Linked DNA regions of Nothobranchius furzeri. The main gene of each other region encodes a partner of the protein of the gene in region 2 in a complex. Links are inferred from orthologs where the notes say so. Each region holds a gene or a part of one and is shown on either strand. Other genes may lie near its edges.

Region 1 (10,438 bases), on a different chromosome or scaffold from region 2:
AGCCTGTTTTTTTTTTTTTATGGGATTTTGTTTTCCCTCTTTTCCTCCCAGGATGTTGTGCTTCAGTGGCTCATGACTGATACTATTCAGCTGAATCAGATCGATGCAGAAGATCCAGAGGTACGTAGAACACAACGGGCCCGGGAAACAGGACCACCGGTGGTTTGATGCACACCTCTGTGATCTCCCAGGTTGCAGACTACACCATGCTGCCAAACACAGGGTGCTTGTCAGGACAGCTCAGTGCATGTTTACAAGAAAGCGACGAGAACCCCAGAGACTCCACCTCCTTCATTAAGTCTGTGTTAGATTTATCAACTGAGACATTACAGCAAGTCATAAGGTGGGAAAGCGGGACTCATCCAGCACATGTTTGATGCTTTCCTTGCAGCTAAACCACTTTCCCTTGCTCTTGGCAGTGCTTATGAGCAGCTGAATGTGAAGCACGAGCCACTCCAGCTCATCACACCACAGTTCGAGACTCCTTTGCCTCCGCTTGAACCGGCTGTAAGTTTTTACGTCCAAAAACCACATAAGGCCCTGTAGAACAGGTGGCTATAGAGCCGCACATTAGCCAAGCTCCTATTCAGCTGTGCCTCCTCAGGCTAACAGATTCACTGAGGTGCCACCTGTAAATGGTCAGTGAGACTATGTGACAGTATTGAAGAATAAAACGTGTAGAAATCTCAGTCCACCCACAGTCTAGTTAGACAATACCCGCAGAGGCACCCTTTGCTCGTCGCTATGTCCAAAAGCACTGCCGGCCTTGCAGACGTCTAAAAGGGATATTAAGGTATTTTTATTTTCATGTAAAATTGAATAAAAGTTTGCAGCTGGAGTCCTGAACACTCAGCAGCTGGTCAGAGCACAGCCAACACCAACGTGTTTTCAAAATAAAAGCACACCAATATGTTTCACAGCCAATCACCTGATCATTCATTGACATTGCCGGTGTCGGTACAGGATCGGCTCGGGTCCCTTCGACTGCCGATGACGTCACATTACTGCAAATCTACTCGGCTTTCACACACGTTTTGGAAAGACATCAGCAGTTTTAATAAATTCTTGTTTGTTAACACTTAAATGTTTTCTTTAGAATTGTAATTTGTTAATAAAACACCAGATTATCTTTGTTTTGTAAAGAATGTGAAACTGCATAAAACCAGCATTGGACTGACATTCGAACAGTTCTTACATGTGAAGCCATATCGGTTTGTATTAATGTGGAGTTTGTCTGTATATTTCCTTAGTTATCTAAATACACTCTTTGACTCTAAATATTGCTTGGTGTCTTTCAAAAAAGTTCTTATATTTTATTTTGCCCCATTTCATCAACATAAAGAGCTTTTGAGGGTCACCGTTTATCATTTGCTTATATTTTACATTTCATTTAGAAATTCAAACATTTTCTCCAAAAACTGTTGATTTTTGCACTACAGGACTGCAACCGCAAATTTGTTCTGACCAATCACAATCATAACGTGATAACGTAACTTCCGTAAGCTTCATGTTCAGCCAATCAACCACGTTGACGTCATCGGCAGTCGAAGGACCCCGAGCCGATCCTGCACCGACGCCATCAGGCGAACAGAGAGCGTGCCAGTTATTAAAACAGATGACGTCTGAAGCGGTCCTGGATGTGCTGCAAACACCGATTTGTTTTGTCATTTGACCAAAATGTCAAGTAGACGAACTCCAGGCCCATCTGAAGTGCAGCCTTTAGAAATTACTTTTTCATTTCAGGACTCCATAAGTTGCATCTGAGCTGACAAATTTTCTCAGACGACTCAAACCTTGCTCCTCATTTTTAGGTCAGAATAAACGTTGGTCCAACCCGTAGCTCATCGGTTCTGTTGGATGTTAACACTCTTTGTGAACAGGAGCTTTTACCACATGATCAGTGAGATTACAGGATTAGACTGCTGTACAAGAATTAACTCCAAAATGGGGCCGAAAAATGTCTTAACGCCTTTACGTTTTAGGTTTTCCCTCCTGCCCTGAACGACTTGCCTCCTCCTATGCTGGACTTGTTTGATCTAGATGAAACCTTCTCATCAGAGAAGGCCCGACTCGCACAACTCACCAACAATTGTAAGACCTTTCACCAGCTTCCTCAGCTGGAAGCAGGACGGTACCATTGCCAACTCCCCTCCCCCCCTCCCCACAGGCACAGACGACGACCTGGAGTTCTACATTCGCAGATGTGGTGAAATTCTGGGTGTGACTCCCAAACTAGATAAAGAGCAGCGGGATGCCAAGCACATACTAGAACATATCTTCTTTCAGGTTGTAGAGTTTAAGAAACTCAACCAGGTGGGTGTGGCCTGTCAGTCTGGTGCCATGGTGCTTCGAGTCTGGTTCAAGTTTAACTTCTCACCTTCAGGAACACGACATGGAGACAGAGGAACGGGTGTCAACATGACCTGGTCTACGGTCCGAACGCGAGCGGGATGTGGTCCTAGCAAGCTGCCGTCAACGTTCAGAAGACTTGGGAGTGAAAGCATCTGCAAATCAACGTTTTCTATCTTTATTGTAGTAAATTATTAATTAAAAGACCCTCATTTATTAGAATAGTTTTTAGGTGCATGACTCAAAAATAATCCATCCACTTCATCTTAAAGGATGCAACAGTAGATCATTCTGATGCCCCATCAGGGTGAAACCTCAGCCAGGGACTGGTTCTGGGGTTTGGGACTCCACGTCTGCTGCTGAACGCTGGAATCCACGAAGCACCGGGGGCTGTTGCTCTCAGCTTTAATCACGGACACGTCCCAAGAGATCTGCAAGGACGTGAGGTCTCCATTAGACCGGTCAAAAAACCCAGCGGGTTTAGAATTCGGCACGGTCACGATGGGCGTGGAAAATTTCCCCTGCATGGGCACGGTCAGGGTGCAGCCATCAGCCTCTTGTGTGTTGGAGCCGGAGCCCAGAAACGAAAACCCCCGACAAGGAGAAAGGAGATCCGTTGACAGACAGAGGGAAGCCAGGATAGATACTCTGCCCTCAGATCTGTTCGCTACAGCTTCATTTGATGCTCTGGAGAGGGACAGGTACTCCAAAGACAAAGCAGACAGCAAACCCTGTTCTCCAAAGAACTTCCTGTCCAGCTCTGATGGAGATGAGCACTCAAAGCTTTTCAGATCTAGAAAGATAAGTAGTTAAGAATGTGAGCTTCTCATCAAAGGTAGCAACAAAATCACCAGCATGCTTACCTTTAAAAACAAAAGCTTTGTCCATGGTGTCCATTGGTCTTCAAACACCTGGCCAGCAGCAGGTGGCTTTAAATGGTTGAAGCTGCTTGTTAATTGGCCCAGCTGGAGGCTGCTCATCAGTCGGGATCAGAGGAAACGTTTTCTGTTTGGGCCGATGTGTGTTTGCAGTTCTGCTTTAAAAAATACTGTTTCATTTATAAAATGATTAGAATGGCTTTTAAATCTTTATTGAAAAGAAAACAAGACAAATTTACAGCACATGATCATAGTAATCTGCAACTTGGGGCCACAAGAGGCTCTTTGTGTCTCATATCTTGGTGATTAATTATATTTATTTTCAAAGTTTCATAATAAAGGTCTTTGTTTGGTTTCTGTCCAGTTTTATGCAAGTTTATATACATCTATAACAATTTGATACTAATGACACCTCTGTCGATTGGTTCCATAGCTTATTGTCCCTGATCTTTTACTCAAATTCACCACAAAGTAAATATATTTAAATAAAGTTATGGCGAGTATTTAGGACTCATTTAATTAAACATGACACATTGATAAAAGGGTTATCTGGCAAGTTAGAGAAAGAAATAGAGGTATAGCATATGTTAGATTTCATAGTGGAATAGTTTAGTGTTTATATTTTACCACAATATTGTTTTTACACTTACAGAGGGAGTGCCTTTTAATTTGACCTCCAGAGGAAAATCACATATTTGGCTAAATATATTGATTACAAGCCAATTACATTAAGTGGATAAAATAAATAAATATACTAGGATTAATCAGAAGAAAGGACAATTGAAGAAACGTGTTTCTTGTTTTTGAGTTAAGAAGTTTCGAGAGAAATTGTGAAATTTCTAGAATAAACAAAAGCTTGCTACGCTCCTCGTTCTTTTATTTTGAAAGTCTGGTGGGAAGTTTGACATCTTCCTGCGCCTGACTGGTTCGACCGCGCAGATCTGGTGCGCATCTACGTCACTGCTCTGGTCGAACGAGAGTGAAGGGCGCGAGATAGAAATAAGAAGCGCGGTCGGAATGGGCGCTCAGCGGCTGCTGCTGTCGGTACACAGAACCTCCAGCGCCGGCCCCTCAGAACCACACCGGGACAACGGTCCACTCCAACGTAAACACCTCTGTGCGCGCGCGGCGGAAGGAGGGAATATCGCCGTGTGACAAAGTAAACAAGTGAAGCAGAGAAATGTCTTCGTGGTCGCGCGGGTAAGAGATCGATCGTTGTTGCCGGATGTTGTTTTTGACAGTAGCAGAACTTGTTAATCTACTGATGTCTGGACGTTACTGCCTAGCTTAGATGCATTTGCAGCTGCAGTTAGCGGAAGGGAAACACGTTAGGAGGAGTTTTATTGTTGGAATTGTGACTCACGACTGCCGCCCTTTTCCGGGCTGTAATCACGAACAACAAGTCTGAGCAAATGAATCCTTGTCCTGCCCTCAGCAGTACTGTTGGTTGTAGCTAGTGAATTATAAATAATATAACCATGAAAACGCGCAAGTCCGCTCGTTTAGCCTCCCCCCGCCTGTATGGCCTTAGGGCGGGCACTGGCTAACTCCTGGTGTCTTCATTAATCAGCTGTGCACATGTGTTTCTCAGCGAGGATGCAGACGAGGCCATGCATCAGGACACTGATTCTGATGTGGCCGAGCCCAGGGATGGAGGGAAGGTGAAGGTGAAGTGGACTCAGGAGGAGGTGAGTGTGCTGACTTGTCCCAGATCACGTCGTTGTGGGTCAGCAGACCTGAACACACTGGGTTGTCTTTACAGGATGAGAAGCTTAAAGTGCTGGTTCTAAAACTGGGTCAGAATGATTGGAAACGTGTTGCCAGCTGCATCCCAGTGAGTCCCGCTGTTCTGGTCTTTAGTGTTACCGTCTTCGAGTCACTCCTTTAGCTCGTTCGTGCCTCTCTTTGCATTCTTCAGACTCACACCGAGCACCAGTGTCAGCACCGCTGGTTGAAGGTCTTGGATCCAGAACTGGTCAAAGGTCCTTGGACCAAAGAGGAGGATGAGAAGGTGGGCTGCGTTTCGTGTTGTGGATCAAGTGTAGAATATTTCTTGAGATTGTCAAAAAGATGCAACTGAATTGTTTGTTTTTCTTCCAGGTCATAGAGCTTGTTAATCTCTACGGTAACAAACAGTGGGCGATGGTAGCCAAGCACCTGAAGGGCAGACTGGGAAAGCAGTGTAGGGAGCGCTGGCACAACCACCTCAACCCCAACGTGAAGAAGTCATCGTGGACTGCTGAGGAGGACCTGATCATCTACAAGGCCCACTGTCTGCTTGGAAACCGCTGGGCCGAGATCGCCAAGCTGCTTCCTGGAAGGTCGGAAAATGTTGCTTCCTGTTTTCTAAACAAGTGGGAGGATGCACTGATTTGTGGTTGAAGCTGAATCTTCTGCTGAAAGGTCTTGTACATCGTTTAACAGGACGGATAATGCTGTGAAGAATCACTGGAACTCCACTATAAAACGAAAGCTGGAGATGGGCTTCTACGCCAGCGAGGTTTTCAGAGCAAACGAGCTGGAGGAGCTGCTGGCGCGCGTTAGTAAAGACGTGCTGGTGGGTCGTCTCCCTCCACCAAGCCTCCTACATCAGCAGCAGTCTCACGTGTTTCTGATTCGAACATCTTGTCTGTGGTGAACCAACAGGTCGCTGGATGCTCTCAGGATGGTTCGGACAAAGAAACGGATTCAAAAGTCCGACTTTTAGTAAGAAATCATCGCATCTATTAAAAACTATGAGCTTAAATGTTGCATCAGCCATCAGTCCTTATGTTTTTACAGAAGTCACAGGAACCATCGGCTCCTGCTAAGAATTCCCACGAAGCAGAGTCGTCCAGGGCTGTCTCCTCTCTAAAGGACGTGTCAAGCCCCAAGACCGATGTGGACTCCACAGGAGAGACGAACAGTTCCAACTGGGTGGTGGACAGCTCTGGTTTCCTCTACCCTACAGGCCCTGTGCTGAAGGAAGTGCTGGACATGGTAGACGGGGTAAATACCCATAATTCACCAGAAAAATAACAAACGCATCTCTGAAACTAACTAAAGTTTAATCGTATTTGATTATAAGAAATGAGAAGCAACTCGTTGCTCCGGTTTAGTTAAATAACCAGTTGCAGCAGAAAGATGATCACCGGTGCAGCAGTTAAATCCAGGTGGTGCCTTTTTCTGTCCGTGTTGTTTTAAAGGATTATTCTATTCTATTCTATTCTATTCTATTTAGTCGACTCTTTGTAAAATCTAGCGGATACCAGACTTGTAAATAAAACGATATCTCCTGTTGGTGGAGGACTTGGACGGCTGGTGCAACCTGGCAGCCTTCGACTTGCCCGAGGACAGCCCCAGCCCCGAGCGCCACCAGTTCCGTCTGGAGGGCAGCGCCTTGCAGGAGCTGAGCAAGTGCAGCAAGGGAGAACTCATCCCCATCTCCCCCGGAGGAATCACCCCTCCCTCCATTCTGTCCCGCCGCAGCCGGAGACGCATCGCCCTGTCTCCAGACGTCAATCGGTCCATGACTCCAAAGAGCACCCCTGTCAAAATCCTGCCCTTTTCTCCGTCACAGGTGAGGAAAAGCTCCATGCTGACGGCACCGACGCTGGTTACACGTCTCCGTCATCCGGGTCATGGTAGTCTGATGAAGGCAACTGAACTTCTTCGGTTCTTCGCCTAAAAGAGGCTTAATGGCAGCAGGACAGAAATAAATGCACCGATATGACATTTTTGGGCCGATATCCAAATACTGACATCAGTGCTTCTAAAATCAGCAGGTTTTGCATAGAATGAACACATTAAAGCTGAAGAGATGATTACAATCACGGTCACATGACTAAACGAATACACCCCACCCTCTTAAACATAAAGAAGATGGGGGGAAAATATGGGTTGTTCATATCGGCCCAGTTTTATTTATGGGGCCGATGCTGATGTACAGAAAATGTGTGTGTATTTATTCTACTGCCCAGCTAAAGCCTCACACACATAATTACTGACCTATTAGCATGAAGCTGGTTATTACAAAGATGTCAGAAGTGATGTTTGTCCCAAAGCCGTGACAACTGGTTAATCGTTTTATTGTAAGATTGGAGTTTGCTGCCTTTATAAATAAAATGGCCGTTTAATCTCCTCTTTTACTAAACGTCGTTTTTTAGAGGCACAAAATCTGCCGACCTGACTTGTTGTTTTCAGTTCCTGAACATGTGGACCAAGCAGGACACGCACGACCTGGAGAACCCGTCCCTCACGTCCACCCCCGTGTGCAGCCAGAAGGTCGTCGTCACCACGCCGCTGCAGCGGGACAAAACGCCGCTCACGCAGAAGGAAAAATCCATGTGAGTGAAAAAGAAGAGAGGACAGATGTTTTCTGTAGCGCGGCGCCTCACCAGATAAAAAATCGTCTCAATTAAAATAAAAAAGATTTTTAAAAGTGATTGAAAAATCACAAAAATGAGAAAAATAAAAAATGTAAGGAAAGAAATGAGGAAATGAATAAGAGCTAATCAGTGGAAACCGGGAAAGGTGGAACGGGTGGAACAAGGAGAGGGTGATGAAGGTCCGACCAAAGCCTGAACAGGTGAGTCTTCAGCTGCTTTTTAAAGGAGACCGCTGAGTCCACTGATCTCAGGCTCAGGGGGAGAGAGTTCCAGAGTCTGGGGGCCACAGCAGCAAATGATCTGTCACCTTTGACCTTTAGCCTGGTGCTGCACAACCAGTAGGCTTTGATCACTGGACCTCAGGGACCTGCTGGAGGTGTAGGGACTGAGAAGATCACCAATGTATGATGGTGCTTGTCCATGTGAGGCCCTGCTGCTTTGCTGTGGAACAGATCAGTGTTTTTATTTTCACTCATGACCTTATTTTTGTGTGTATTTTAGGTTTGTTACTCCGAACCACAAGTCTGGGATCTGCACAACGCCACGAACCCCAACACCGTTCAAGAATGCCATGGAGAAGTACGGCGCTCTGCATCCTCTGGTGAGTCTCGCCCCGGTCTCCTCACAGCCGCTGGTAGGTGTTTGGTTTACTTCTGTGTTTGATTTCTGCTATTTCCTGTTTGGTCTCCTCAGCCCCAGACTCCAAACCTTGAAAACGATATTAACGAAGTCATCCTCAGAGATGCGGGGATAAATGTGGTCGTCATGCGTTCCACTCCACCGGAGCAACGGCGCAAAACAGCGGTAACGAGAGCTTTTTTCCAGTCAGGCGTGAAGCAGCGTGCTTTATAAGAGAGGAAGTAAAACCGAACAATTACAGGCAGCAAGGAGTTAGGAGCACCAAGAAAGCTGTAGCTCCTCCCACTCTAACGGGAAAGAGCGGATTCAGAGAGGTAGTAAAATCATGGAAGAAACGACTTTATGATGTTTTATTTGTGTGACATTCTGTATTGGGTTTGTTTACCTCAATACACCTGCAAACATTACATCCATTTAAAAAAAAGGCCACCTCCTGGCGTCACGTGGTCAGAGAGACGTAACCCGATTGACTAAAAGCCACGCGGCTCAACGAGGTGACGAGTGCTTTGGTCACTAGGAGGTCAGGCCACCTGCCATGCTGAATATCAGCTGCTGGATTTGTACGGGTGAAGTTGACGCTGGTGTATTTTAATTAAAACATTCAAATACATAATTTCACAGAGTAATCAGCATGTCGTGAATTCAGCATCTAAAACACGTCGTTTTCTGTTGAGACGGGTTTGTTCCATATGAAATGATGTCGGTAATCTGAAAAATAAAATGCTGCCAAATAAAACTAATCTGTAATTAAAATATCCAGAATAAAATATTATCGTCAACGAAATTAGATTCCTGATCTAACAACTGAAAAGTAGAAGATAAAAAATAACACGATCTCTGTACGTATACAGTAGGAGCAAATGTACTAATGGTTCTGTACCTGTGCTGGAAATGTTCCTGATTCTAAGAAAACCTCGGTCCATGCCTTTGACATAAATATACGTGGACATCTCCTTTCCATAGGCTCCAATATCACGCTTTTGTGCCAAAATGGGAGGTGGCCACCACCGCCATTTTGACCGTGTCACAGGTTCCGTCAAGCCCAGACAATTCCACAAAAGGAAAGAGAGGTGGAGCTGAGGGTGGGGCTGTAAGGCTGGGATCAACTGACGACACCCGGTCGAACTAGCTACAAGCTAACCTGAAGCTAATGCGGAGGTGGGAGCTAAGCTAACGGAGGTAGCAACCTAGCTACAACCGGAGTTAACTGTGCACAACACCAGAGCTTCTGAGTCAGAGATACGCCGGACTGACCGCTGGGTAAAACCGGGTGGAACACAGAGGTCTCCCAAAAGCTGCCGAAAGCCGGCAGTCCGCGCAGCAGACCGAGATGCGCCGAGCTGCAGGGAGGGGAGAACGGGTGGAAAACATCGGTCTCCCGAGAGCTCCACAAGCCGATAGTGGGAACCCAGCTCCACCAACATGTTATATTTCAACCCATTTTCTAAAGTGTAGCATTATGTTAAATGCACTGGGTTTTACCCTATTACATTTAAATTTCATGGTTAAACAGTACGTGTTAAAATCTAAGCTCAGCTCGGCAGTGACCTAAAATACATAAATATAATTTTACTTACCGAAAAAAATGAAGTGCAGGCTCCTTGGATGCTCTATTAGTGCAATTAATGCCACAGCAAGTCATTTTGTCCAACAATTGCACAAAAAATATCCAAAAAAGAATACACACACACAGAGACTCAAAATCCTGGAACAGTTTCCAGGCCAGACCGAGGCTCTACTGAGGCCTTTCCACGGAGCTAGCTCTGTGGTCACGTGGGTCGGATGCTCATTAATTATACAGAATTTTAGGCTTTTAATACACTTAAACAGAAGAGTGAGAAAAAAATTCACCCCCCTCAGAGTTGTCATGAGTGTAAACTAGATAATTTAAACCAAAAACATGTTTTGGTACCAGGCTGTGAACATGTTTATTTCTGCTGTGAAATTGGTATTTTTAACATGGGAGTCAATGAGGATTTGCTCGCTTCTGACACCAGCCCCTAGTGGATGAGGGTGGAACTGCAATTTTTGGTATTTCCGGGTTGGACTCAAATTTTAGAGCAGCATTGTGGGGGCTTGGTCCATGCGTATGAGCAGCATCTAGTGGTAGAACTCCACACATGTTCCTCATCTCTGAATTATTTCACCCAATAAACAATTCTAGCGGTGGAAAATCAGTTTTTTCGCGCCCGACTGGCGCCAAAA
Region 2 (10,206 bases):
ACTTTAGGAGCGGGTTGTTAAAAAAACGATCGTGGCTTCATTCGCAATAAAAAGCAAGTTATGTTCAAGATAAACAGAAATCTGCGGCATCTCAGAGATCGCCCCATACCTCCTTCATGCTGCCATCACCTAAACTTTTATAAAAAAAGACACAATGGTGCCACATTACCACCACAGTCTGACCACCTATAAACAATCTAAGGGTCCCTGATGACGCCACGGGGGTTGTGGCAGAATGACGGCATTATTTTGTAAAAACCCAGACACCCTGCATAGATTTTTTTTTTTTTTTGCTGCTTGTATCCCTGCAAAATCCCATTAATCATCACATACTGGTGAAATACATCTCCGCATCCGACCCATCCCCGTGGGGAGCAGTGAGCTGCAGCAGTGGCTAGAGAACTCTTTGGTGGGTTAACCCCCCCCCCCCCCAATCCAACCCCTAAAAGCTGAGTGTCAAGCAGGGTGGCATTGGGTCCCAATTTTAAAGTCTTTGGTATGACCCGACCGGGATTTGAACCCTGATCTCCCAGTCCCAGGGCCGACACTACCACTAGGCCACTGAGAAGGTGAGAAGACGAGGATGGGAATGTAGATCGACTGATAAATCTATAGCTTGGGCTTCTGGCTCAGCTCTCTCCTCACCACGACAGACCGGTACAGCGCTTGCATCGCTGCAGATGCAGCACCAATCCGCCTATCGATCTCTCGTTCCATCTTTCCCTCACTCGTGAACAAGACAGATCATTTGTGAAAACTACAAACTAGCAGACACTTACTCTGTTTCTATAATTTCATTAGTGGAAAGGATTTTCTATAGACTTTTTTTAAACAAGTCATATAAAATGTTGCAGAATCATCAGTACATGTGAAACTGGTGATCTTACCAGTGACTTTTGTCCCTATGATGAGTGGCAGAGGAATTTCATCAGGAAGGTCTTTGCAATTTGACACATCTGACAGTTTCCTCTGCTGCAAAAGGCGCATTTTTTGCCGCTTCTGCCTCAGCGCGGTTCTCTCTTCAGCAAAGAAAGCCGATGAACACCTGGATGTGTCGACAGAACCAGAACTGTAACATCGACCGGCTTTGATCTGAGGCTTCAACATTCAGGTGAAACACACGGGGAACAACAAACGTAGAGACCACCGCGTACCGTCGAGGTTTTCCCATCAGCCTCCTGATGGTTCCCCACTCAACTCTGGTCAATTTTCTTGTTTTCAAATTGGGAAAAGACTCCTTGAGGCACAAGCAGAACTCATTGTCACCTTCAAACAAAGGTCTGGAAGAAAAAACAACAAATTTATTTTGAAAGTGCAATTAAACAAGACATTAACTCGTGAACTAAATTGTTTTGTACATCTAGGTTGACTTAAGTTACTATAAATGTACCTGGAGAATAAAACAGACCAACTCAAATATGTCTGTGTGTAAATGACCAACATCTTCCAAAGTGAGACGTTACCTGTCGATATTGGAATAGAACCATTCATAGATGCACCATTTGTGAGCTTTGGGTAGTTTAAGGAGGTTTCTCAATCTCAGCCCTATTTTCTGTGAAGCCTTCTTATCTGGTGTCATGATGTTTGAAAACTTCTGCAGAGACAAATGCAAGACAACCATCAATGCACATGCAGATACACAAGAGCCATGAGGCCATAAACACAAAAATCAATGATGCAATTAAAGGGAAACTATGTAGTTTTGGCTTGCTTTTAGCACCCCCTGGTGTCCAAAAGTGAAACTCTTCTCACTGTGCGTTAGTGATGAGATTTATGGCATTTCATGGCAGTCATTCTTTAGTCGGTCATTTACCTCAAAGAGCCGTTCAAAAGACTGGCTCCTTTGAATGAAGCGAAGCCATCAGAGCGTGTGTGTTTGTGTGTGATAAGAGCAACATGGTTGCAGCGGTGGAAGGGGGTTAAGCGAGCGCGCTTTGCCGACTTTCGGGGACGTTCGTTACCACAAGACAAGATGAACGGCTCTCTACAGTAGAGCTGAGGAAAATAATCAAATAATCGATGCATCGGGATGCGGACATAAACGATTCTGCGTCGTAGAAGAGTACGCCATAATCGATTATGGTGGAATGTAGTTTTGTTTTAACGGCAGCACCAGCGCAGCATCCAAATCTGTCAGTGAGCGTCCTCCACATTTACCAAGTGGTTCCGCCTTAATGTGGTACTGCAGGGCTGAACGCTAGAGTTGTAACCTGAGACCGAATCAGCCCAACCGGTTCTGTTGGAATTGGGCTGCGAATTATGTTAATTGAGCGGGTCGTCATGCGGCGCGCTCCGCTCGCTCGATCAACGACTGAGAGAGAGAGAGAGAGACACTGTCTGCTCACACAAGAGAGAGGATCGGAGGACGCTCCTCCAAACCGATGCTCCAAACACGCATAATTATTTTCATAATTTAATTATTGTTTCTCCTGGAAGCGCTCAGTCAGACCGAGTGTTGTGATGCTGGGAGATCCGGTCTTGGGGAGGGGGCGGGGTCAGTGATGGCGGCTGCAGCGTGGTCGTCTGTCTCTTTAATTTAGGGACACGGAGAAGTTAAAAGGAGAGCGAAATAGAAGATAGAAGTTCTTGTTCCACTTAATTCTTTTGTTTCATGAAGATAAAATGATGTTAAATTCAGCTTAAAGAGAAACTGGGAGGAAGCTTTGGTTCATTTTAAGTTACAGGAGATCTTGTCTTCTACCTGCTCCTCCAGAGACAGCATGGAGGGTTACATGGTGAGGGTCCCACAGGACAGCTTAGTGGAAAGGTTTGTAGTTAGCTGGTTAGTGAAGGAGATCCATCAGCTGGGTAATTTAATCCTAATCCAGCCCACAGCCTTCTGCTGGTGTTATTATCAGCAAGAATAAAACACACATCTTAAATATTATTGGAAGTGTATAATTAGTTTGATGTTTTATTATTTTCTGCATCAAACAGAACTTGATTCCTGCTCCAACATTTCAGAAATGAACCACTGGGTTCAAATAAAATAAACTAAGTCAAACATTTCATTTGGTGTCATTTCTGACAGACTTGAACTGCAGCATAAATATTTGACTCTAGAGCTGCTCAGAGACATTAAACACTCATTTATGAACCCATTATGGATTTTATTATTACATTATGTGTCCTGTAGGTTTTCAGTACTTTTTTAGATTTTGTGAGTTTTTGCAAAGCGTGTTTTTCTCAGCCTGAGGCGTGGTGTTGAACCAGGAAACAGATTGTTTTACTTTGTTAAATCTTCTTAAATGTTTAAAATGTTTCGTCCTTAACTGTTGTGAATGGAGAGCTTTTGGGGGACGGCAGGTTGTGTCAATTACGCTTTTGATAAAAAATAAAAAGCAATTATCTGACATCTTCAATTCATCGATGAAAACAAATCAATATGAAATAATCGTGACGCATCGGGATATCGAATCGAATTGAATCGAGAGACAAGTGAAGATTCACACCTCTACTCTACAGGAACTCGGCTCTCACTGTTCACTTTGAAAACGTGTTCAAAAGATTCGATTTGTTCATGAACGTCACATTACTACTGTGCGTTCATCTTTTTACAGCTTAATCTAATGCGTGAAACGTGTCCTCAGCCTTCATTAGTTTAAACAGAAGCGGTTCATCACTAAATCAAACAAATCAGCTGTGTTCAACATGCTGGAAGCAGACTGCAGCACTGGCATGTCAGCTCAACTTTACAAGGTCCAAAAGGGACCGGAAACTGAAGTTGCAAGTGTGATTTTCTGGCCATAGAGGCGGTGGGGTCTGAGTGACATTTTATTAACCCTGTAAAAGGTCATTTTAGCACATATCGGCTCAAGAAAATGATTTAAAAATATGAAGAAGTTGTAAAATATGCCTTTAAACAAACTATTTGGAATGAATGAACCAATGTTCCCAATAAAATCCACTAAAATGTTGCTTTAGAGGGCAGTATGTCAATATAATACTGCAGAACAGGTCAACCAAGTTCATCTCCTCTTCCTTGAATGCACCAACACCCCAAACTGTTTTGGTGCAACTACAAACAAATTTTATGATCATAAACGTCCCCAAAAGCAACCATTAAGTCATGATTAAATGTCACAAGTCAGCATTTTACACACACTTTAGAAAAGAAAAGCAGAAAGACCATCCTATGTATAACAACCTTATTGAGTGGAGTTCTATGGTCCTTACACCTTCGCCAAATAAACGTTACAGCAGTTTCAAAAGCTTAAGATTTTCCTGCATCTTACGTGCATGAACAGCACACACATGCACAGAACAACTCTTTCACTTCCTGGTTTTACAAAAAAAAAAGATACTCTTGAGTAATAATTTGTACTATCAAGCACTTTTAATGATTTTGAGACCCCGTGAAAACTTTGGCGTTTGTACCTGTGGTGTAGTGGAGACCCTTTGGCTCCTCCGAGGGGACCTGGAAGAGGGACGCTGCTGCGGCGATTCATCTTCCTCCCGAAACAAACGGCTTCTCTTAGAGCTCCTTGTAGGCTGAAGACACAAAAATTAAGTTTTCTCAGAAGAATCGATATTTTTTTTATAGAACTGTTTCTCGACAAATCTCAATTATGCCTCCAAAGTGTCTTCAAGAAAGTCCATTATTAATATTTATTCAAACTTTTTATGACAAATATACAAATCTTATGTAATTGTAGCTTTCCAAACAATAATAAATGCGTTTCTAGTTCATCTTAATTAGTCATGATAAAAGTGATCATCGTTTTACCACGTCCATTGTGACAGATGAATGGCGTCCTCTGGTGTTGTGAGCTCTAGTGAAACTGTTCTTCTCATTCAGAGTGTTAGACAAGCTGCCCTCTGTAAAAAGATGGATTTGTACAATAAATTGTGAACACAATCCACATAAATTTAATATGCTTTCTGACCAAGTTTGTGCTGTTTTTATTACTAGAAAGAAAGCACGAACTGCTGACTTTATTTTGTAAAAACATGCAGGCAGTGCAGGTCATAAGCTTGGTATTATGAGGGTAATACACAGCTTCATGTGTGTGAGGGGCTTAGGAATACTAACCACTTTTATCCAGGAGTTTAATACATATATGGCTCTGACCTAATCAACGTTCATGTTTTTAATGATAAAAACATAGTTTACGAAAAATCTAAATCCAGATCATTTTAACAGTACAAAGAGCAAATTAAAAATAAACAGACTAAGTACCTTTTAAACTGACCAGGGCCTCTGCAGAGGAGCCTAAGGAAGATGGGAAATTGTGCAACATCAGTATCAATTAGCATTATTAACAGCTAAAACAAATGTCATTTCATCAACAAATGTAGGAAATCAGATATCTCCATGTTTGAGTAAAATGCTAATATTACTTATGCTATCAAAGAACCAAAATGACGTTCGGATCGGTCAGATAGGTTGAGTTAGAGGCCTTTCCTCCCAAGTTTCAGCTGTCAAACACGGGTCGAAACATCAGCTTGACAGGCAACACCAGACATGGTGAAGCGAGCTGATGTTACCACGAACTGAAGGTCATATCTAATTACATTAAATTTATTTAGATCCGTTATTTCAGTGTAAAAAGCCAAACCAATAAATGATAACAACAATCGCGTAACCATGTAACAAGCGCTAACAAACCTTATGGTAAGAAAATACATTTCCAGGGAGAAAGATGAGGAAAACTAAGCCTGATTACTCAAACACAGAGTCATTAGCTGCGGTAGTCCTATTGTTATTGTAGCTCTATTTATAAGGTTAGCAGCGGTTAGCTCACAGCTAAGCTAACGGGATTCGTTTACCCAGTTGAGCTAAAGTAACTTCTTCAACTGCTGTATTAGCTATAGTTAGCTCGTGGTGCTAGCAAGCAGTAGACCGGTTTCTACATCCAAACGCGGCTTATAAAGTCAACCCAAAACCTACAATATTTGCCGTATGAACGGTGCTATCGGGTTTCCGCCTGCTGTTTATCTTTTTTATAATAGATTCGCTGCTTGTTCACACTGTAAAACTGACAGTATGGTGTGTTGTTACCCACTCTCGTCTAACAGCTGGTCCATCTCCGCCATCTTGAATTAGCCGCGCCGCTTTTCAAAGACTTTGTCAAAATGCATTCTGGGTTAGAATCCGTCTGGAGGGCGATTTGAGACAAAAAATAAACAAACTGATACAACCACCGGCGCTAAGTCACTTTGTGTCACTCTGACTCATAAACTGTAAAGTATATTTTATATAAGTACAATATTTTTGTTGAAACTTGGTACAGGAATGCAAGAAAAAAGATGGGTGTGGATAACAAACCTTGACTCCACTTAGACGTACTGGAAATGTCCTTTGTCGGATTTAAGAATTCAGACACAAAGTTAACACGTTATTTAATGTTTTACGTTACCTCTACAATAACTAAATTAGCCTATGAGCTGTACTTTAAATATTAAATGCTTTAAGTCTATCAGGTAGTCTCGTGATCACGTTGTTGCTAAACTCATTTTTATCTCGTTAGTATATTATATGCATTTTTTTATTTCACGGTTTTTACATCTTAAACCAAATCAAATTCAAGCACTTTCAAGGTGAAATCAAAGGTTTTCCACCATAAATATTAATTCAACTGAACATGTATGCTTAAAACGCGGCTGTAACCAACTTTATTTAGCTAAAAACCAAAAATGTTAAAGCAGTTGAAACACTTTTAAGAACACGAAGCATTAAGGACATGACCTTTGACCTCCCATAAGATCATTTACTTTCAACATGTTTACAAATGGTAAATAAATGCATTATAGGCTGATTTCCATTCAGAGTAAAACAAAAACATAAAGACAAAAGTCTTTACATGTCCCGTGCTTTATTGTGATTTATGGAACAAAAATTAACACAATTTTCATACAAAAAGTTGTGGAAGACGGCTTGAGACAGAAACAACTAAACAAATATGTACATGTCAGACCTTATACAGTATCATCAAGGCTACTTCAGAAAACAGCCATTGAAATAATTCTGGTCTCAACTCAAAACCCCTTGCAGACACTCTGTAACACTTTAGACGTAAGCTTATCAACAGATTTTCATGAACTGATCAAATTAAAAGAATGAAATCGTTAACCATCATCGTCTGAGGCTTCCTGTATTTTCTACAACCGTCCTGTTGTGATTTCAGTTTTACAAAGTTAACGTGATCCTAATGAAGGCTGCCTGCTACAGAACCATGAAATAGCTGTAAAGTGGTATAATATTCCAGGCATTTGGATGCAGAAGTGGTGTTTTTCTTCAAACGTTGCCTTTTTTCTACCACAGGGATGTCTGGTAATTAAACTTGATCTTCAAGAGATACTTCATGTTTACCTGTGCCACATCATAAACAATGTACCTGGAGGAGCAGTGGTTAAGGAAAACAGAAAACAGGATTGAACGCAAAGGAATAAAAATAAAGTGCATGTGTGACGAGTGAAATAAAGCTACAATAAAGACAACAACAATGTTTGTTATCAATCTATGAGTGATTTATAAATACTTTCAGATCAGATTGCTGTAAAACGTTCCCAATAAGAAATAACTGGATGAATCTCAAAGGATACTCGTTGTACAGTAGACTTGTGTCATCGATGTTAGTGTGGACGCCTTTTCCCAGAGGCACATGCACGCCATTCAAATTGACAGTAGCATTTGGATCAGGAGCAGTTCGACCCAAACCTGGATAGAAAAAAAGGTTAAAGGGAGACTAGTCAGTTTTGACTTGCTTTTAGCACCCTCTAGTGTCAGTTTAGTAGAACCGAAAGCAAAACGTATGCCCTCCCTGTGCATTGGTCTTTTTAACATCTTAATTTAACAGCTGAAATGTCTCCTCAGCCTCCATTAGTGTCTACAGGAGTGATTCATCACTAAATCAAACAAATCAGCTGTGTTCATTATCTAAAACATACAGGAAATGTGCTGGAAGCAGACTGCAGCGCCAGGTATGTCAGCTGAACTTTTTTCTAAGCCCAACAGACCGGACCGGTACTCTGAAGTTGCAAATGCAGTATTTTGCCCACAGAGGGTGGTGAGGGTCTGAGTGACATTTCATTAACCCTATAAAGGGTCATTTTAGCACCTACTGGCTCAAGAAAACAAATTTAAAATATGAAAAAGTTGCAAAGTATCTTTTAAAAATGCCCTAAAAAATCAACCATAAGACATAAATTCTGACCAAAATTAGCACCATCTATAAAATATTTCCAGTTACCTCTACGCAAATGTTAGTTTTCCATAAAGGCAACAAAAAAGCAAGTAATAATTATTGAACCAGGTGTTTATCTTCAGGTTTCTGACCTTTAACACTTTGTTTGCCCTTTGGTAACTTTGTAATATGAGAGGCCTTCTTCAGCTCATGCCTGCATTAAAATAATAAAAAGAAATCTTTATTTACACAGAGATAAAATCATTTCAAATGGCATTTATTATAAGCTACGACCATCACTTACATGTTTCCCAGGGCAACCTCTGCCAGCAGTATGAGGCCTACAGGGTCCGACTGCGAGGTGTGACAGTAGTTGGCACTCTTGGACACCATATCAGCAAAGTAAACACCTTTGCCAAACATGTAGCCAGTCTAGAGAGATGAGAACAGGAAGCTTGTGAGGCAACGAAATGTGAAGATAAAAGAAAATATTACAAACTAGGATTTATGCTTCTACAAATGTACAAACGCACCACAGGAGCTTCTGGAGGGGCAATACGAAGACCCTGAGACAGGATTCCTGCGTAATTCGTGGTGCGAGAGCCGTGCCACAATAGCTGTCGGTTGTGTAGCTCCTCGAATGGACGGTAGCGTTGGTGCTCTCCTTCACGAACTATTTTAAAGATCTTATAAAAAAGATTTAATGGAAAGAAGGAAAAGAAATGTTTTTGTAACTCATACTCATCAGAAATTATTATAACTTTGATATTATCATCTATAATCATACATTAATAACAACATTTATATTATTTACTGAATAATAACTTACTTCTTGCACTTCCAGCGTGTACGTGTTGTGCGTAGCGGCATGCGTGTTCTTAACGTACTGCATAATGATCTCTGCTTCCTGTGTGGTTTTGTCAACAACCTGTGAAATTTTAAACATATTACAAAAAATGCTTCCACACAAAAACACGTTAGCTACGTTCATCCAAGAGTTAACGTCCTTTACCTCCATTTTGGTTTTGAGTTTCTCATAGTTGATGTCGATGGGGTCGCGCTCGTTGTCCTGAGCTCCTCCTCTCAACAGGCTGTAGGCCACCTCGATGTCCAACAGGTTGTCCAGCATCTCCACTTTAGCCTGGACAGGGACGCGTGGGACAGATTTTCAAGCCCAGAGCTGGTGTTGTAGAGAGGGTTAGAACATGCGTACCTGAACGTAATCCAGGTTGTTAAGGAGGGGGGGCTTCTTCATGCCGAAGTCGTGAGGTATTAGCGTGTAGAAGCGATTGGACAGATCCAGGATCTGTGCCTCTGGGACGCAGTCCGACACGGCCTAGTGACCAGCAGAGAGGTCAGACTCATTCATTTCATCCCGATTCAAACAGAATTAATGTTACCGTTATTGACTGACCTGCTGCACGTCCGTCAGGAGAGCGTAGGCACTCTGGATTTGTCTTTTACTCAGCTTACCCAGAGGCATCTTCTGGAGGTCGATCTGGGAAATAAAAAAAATTAAAAAAAGGAAAAACCGGCTCGTTAAATGTCAAAACTTTTCACAAGATGCATGATGCGCAACAATGAGATCTGTCACTTTGCTGTTGATTATGAAAACAGACTCAGTAGGGCCACTTTCTGAACGCTGCGGATGAAGCTGCTTTTTAATCCCAGACCCATTAAAACAGACATAGAAAGAAATGTTAGACAGGTCTTACTTCAAACTCCACCATGGCTTTTTTCATGCTTTCAACATCAAAGATCATCTTGATCAGTTCCTGAACGGGTTTGGCCAGTTTGGACTTGGTGCCAGCAGTGGCTGTCAGCTGCTTCACCGCCTCCTCGTCCTAAAAAAGTCCAACTCGGTCACAAAACATCAAACACCTGTCTGAGGTTGTCCCCTGGTGTGTGTGTGTGTGTGTACCTGTCCATAGTCGATCTCCAGCGGGTAAAACTTATTAGGATATTTAGTGAAGTTGGAGGCACTCCAGTTATTTCCTGTTTTTTCCTTGTAAAGGCCGAGGAAATTATCCATCGCTGAGATTTTATCCTGGAATTTGTCCAGCTTGTTTCCTCCGATGGT

Evidence for each region. The genes of interacting proteins can lie anywhere in the genome.
Region 1: the proteins of lin9 (region 2) and mybl2b are in contact, whole or in part, in a crystal structure (PDB 6C48), measured with the Homo sapiens proteins. The link is inferred for Nothobranchius furzeri from reciprocal best matches to the Homo sapiens genes LIN9 and MYBL2. Residues at the interface, in NP_001353174.1 of Homo sapiens: Lys356, Gln385, Arg386, Tyr388, Ala389, Thr390, Val392, Leu393, Leu395, Glu396, Asn399, Leu402, Asn403, Leu406; in NP_002457.1 of Homo sapiens: Trp663, Ala667, Cys668, Gly669, Gln674, Met677, Gln678, Ala681, Arg682, Leu684, Leu685, Arg687.

The regions. Positions count from the first base shown.
Region 1 is NC_091743.1:41,533,749-41,544,186, forward strand, and holds the start of mybl2b (v-myb avian myeloblastosis viral oncogene homolog-like 2b), read left to right. Parts: upstream 1-4,223; 5' UTR 4,224-4,407; coding exon 4,408-4,427; intron 4,428-4,818; coding exon 4,819-4,915; intron 4,916-4,989; coding exon 4,990-5,061; intron 5,062-5,145; coding exon 5,146-5,238; intron 5,239-5,327; coding exon 5,328-5,548; intron 5,549-5,651; coding exon 5,652-5,784; intron 5,785-5,873; coding exon 5,874-5,933; intron 5,934-6,008; coding exon 6,009-6,215; intron 6,216-6,513; coding exon 6,514-6,786; intron 6,787-7,409; coding exon 7,410-7,552; intron 7,553-8,095; coding exon 8,096-8,195; intron 8,196-8,287; coding exon 8,288-8,398; intron 8,399-10,438. Other genes in the region: ift52 (intraflagellar transport protein 52 homolog), read left to right, coding at 52-120, 192-343, 420-507, 1,983-2,091, 2,168-2,547; uncharacterized protein, read right to left, coding at 2,652-3,142, 3,213-3,246. UniProt on the Homo sapiens protein: Transcription factor involved in the regulation of cell survival, proliferation, and differentiation. Transactivates the expression of the CLU gene.
Region 2 is NC_091742.1:4,988,557-4,998,762, reverse strand, and holds the start of lin9 (protein lin-9 homolog), read right to left. Parts: upstream 6,103-10,206; 5' UTR 6,037-6,102; coding exon 6,006-6,036; exon of another isoform or gene 6,002-6,005; intron 5,674-6,001; exon of another isoform or gene 5,609-5,673; intron 5,213-5,608; coding exon 5,180-5,212; intron 4,819-5,179; coding exon 4,727-4,818; intron 4,492-4,726; coding exon 4,378-4,491; intron 1,595-4,377; coding exon 1,464-1,594; intron 1,281-1,463; coding exon 1,155-1,280; intron 1,046-1,154; coding exon 888-1,045; intron 1-887. Other genes in the region: parp1 (poly [ADP-ribose] polymerase 1), read right to left, coding at 7,256-7,337, 7,546-7,660, 8,279-8,340, 8,431-8,558, 8,660-8,812, 8,956-9,054, 9,139-9,267, 9,340-9,462 and 3 more. UniProt on the Homo sapiens protein: Acts as a tumor suppressor. Inhibits DNA synthesis. Its ability to inhibit oncogenic transformation is mediated through its association with RB1. Plays a role in the expression of genes required for the G1/S transition.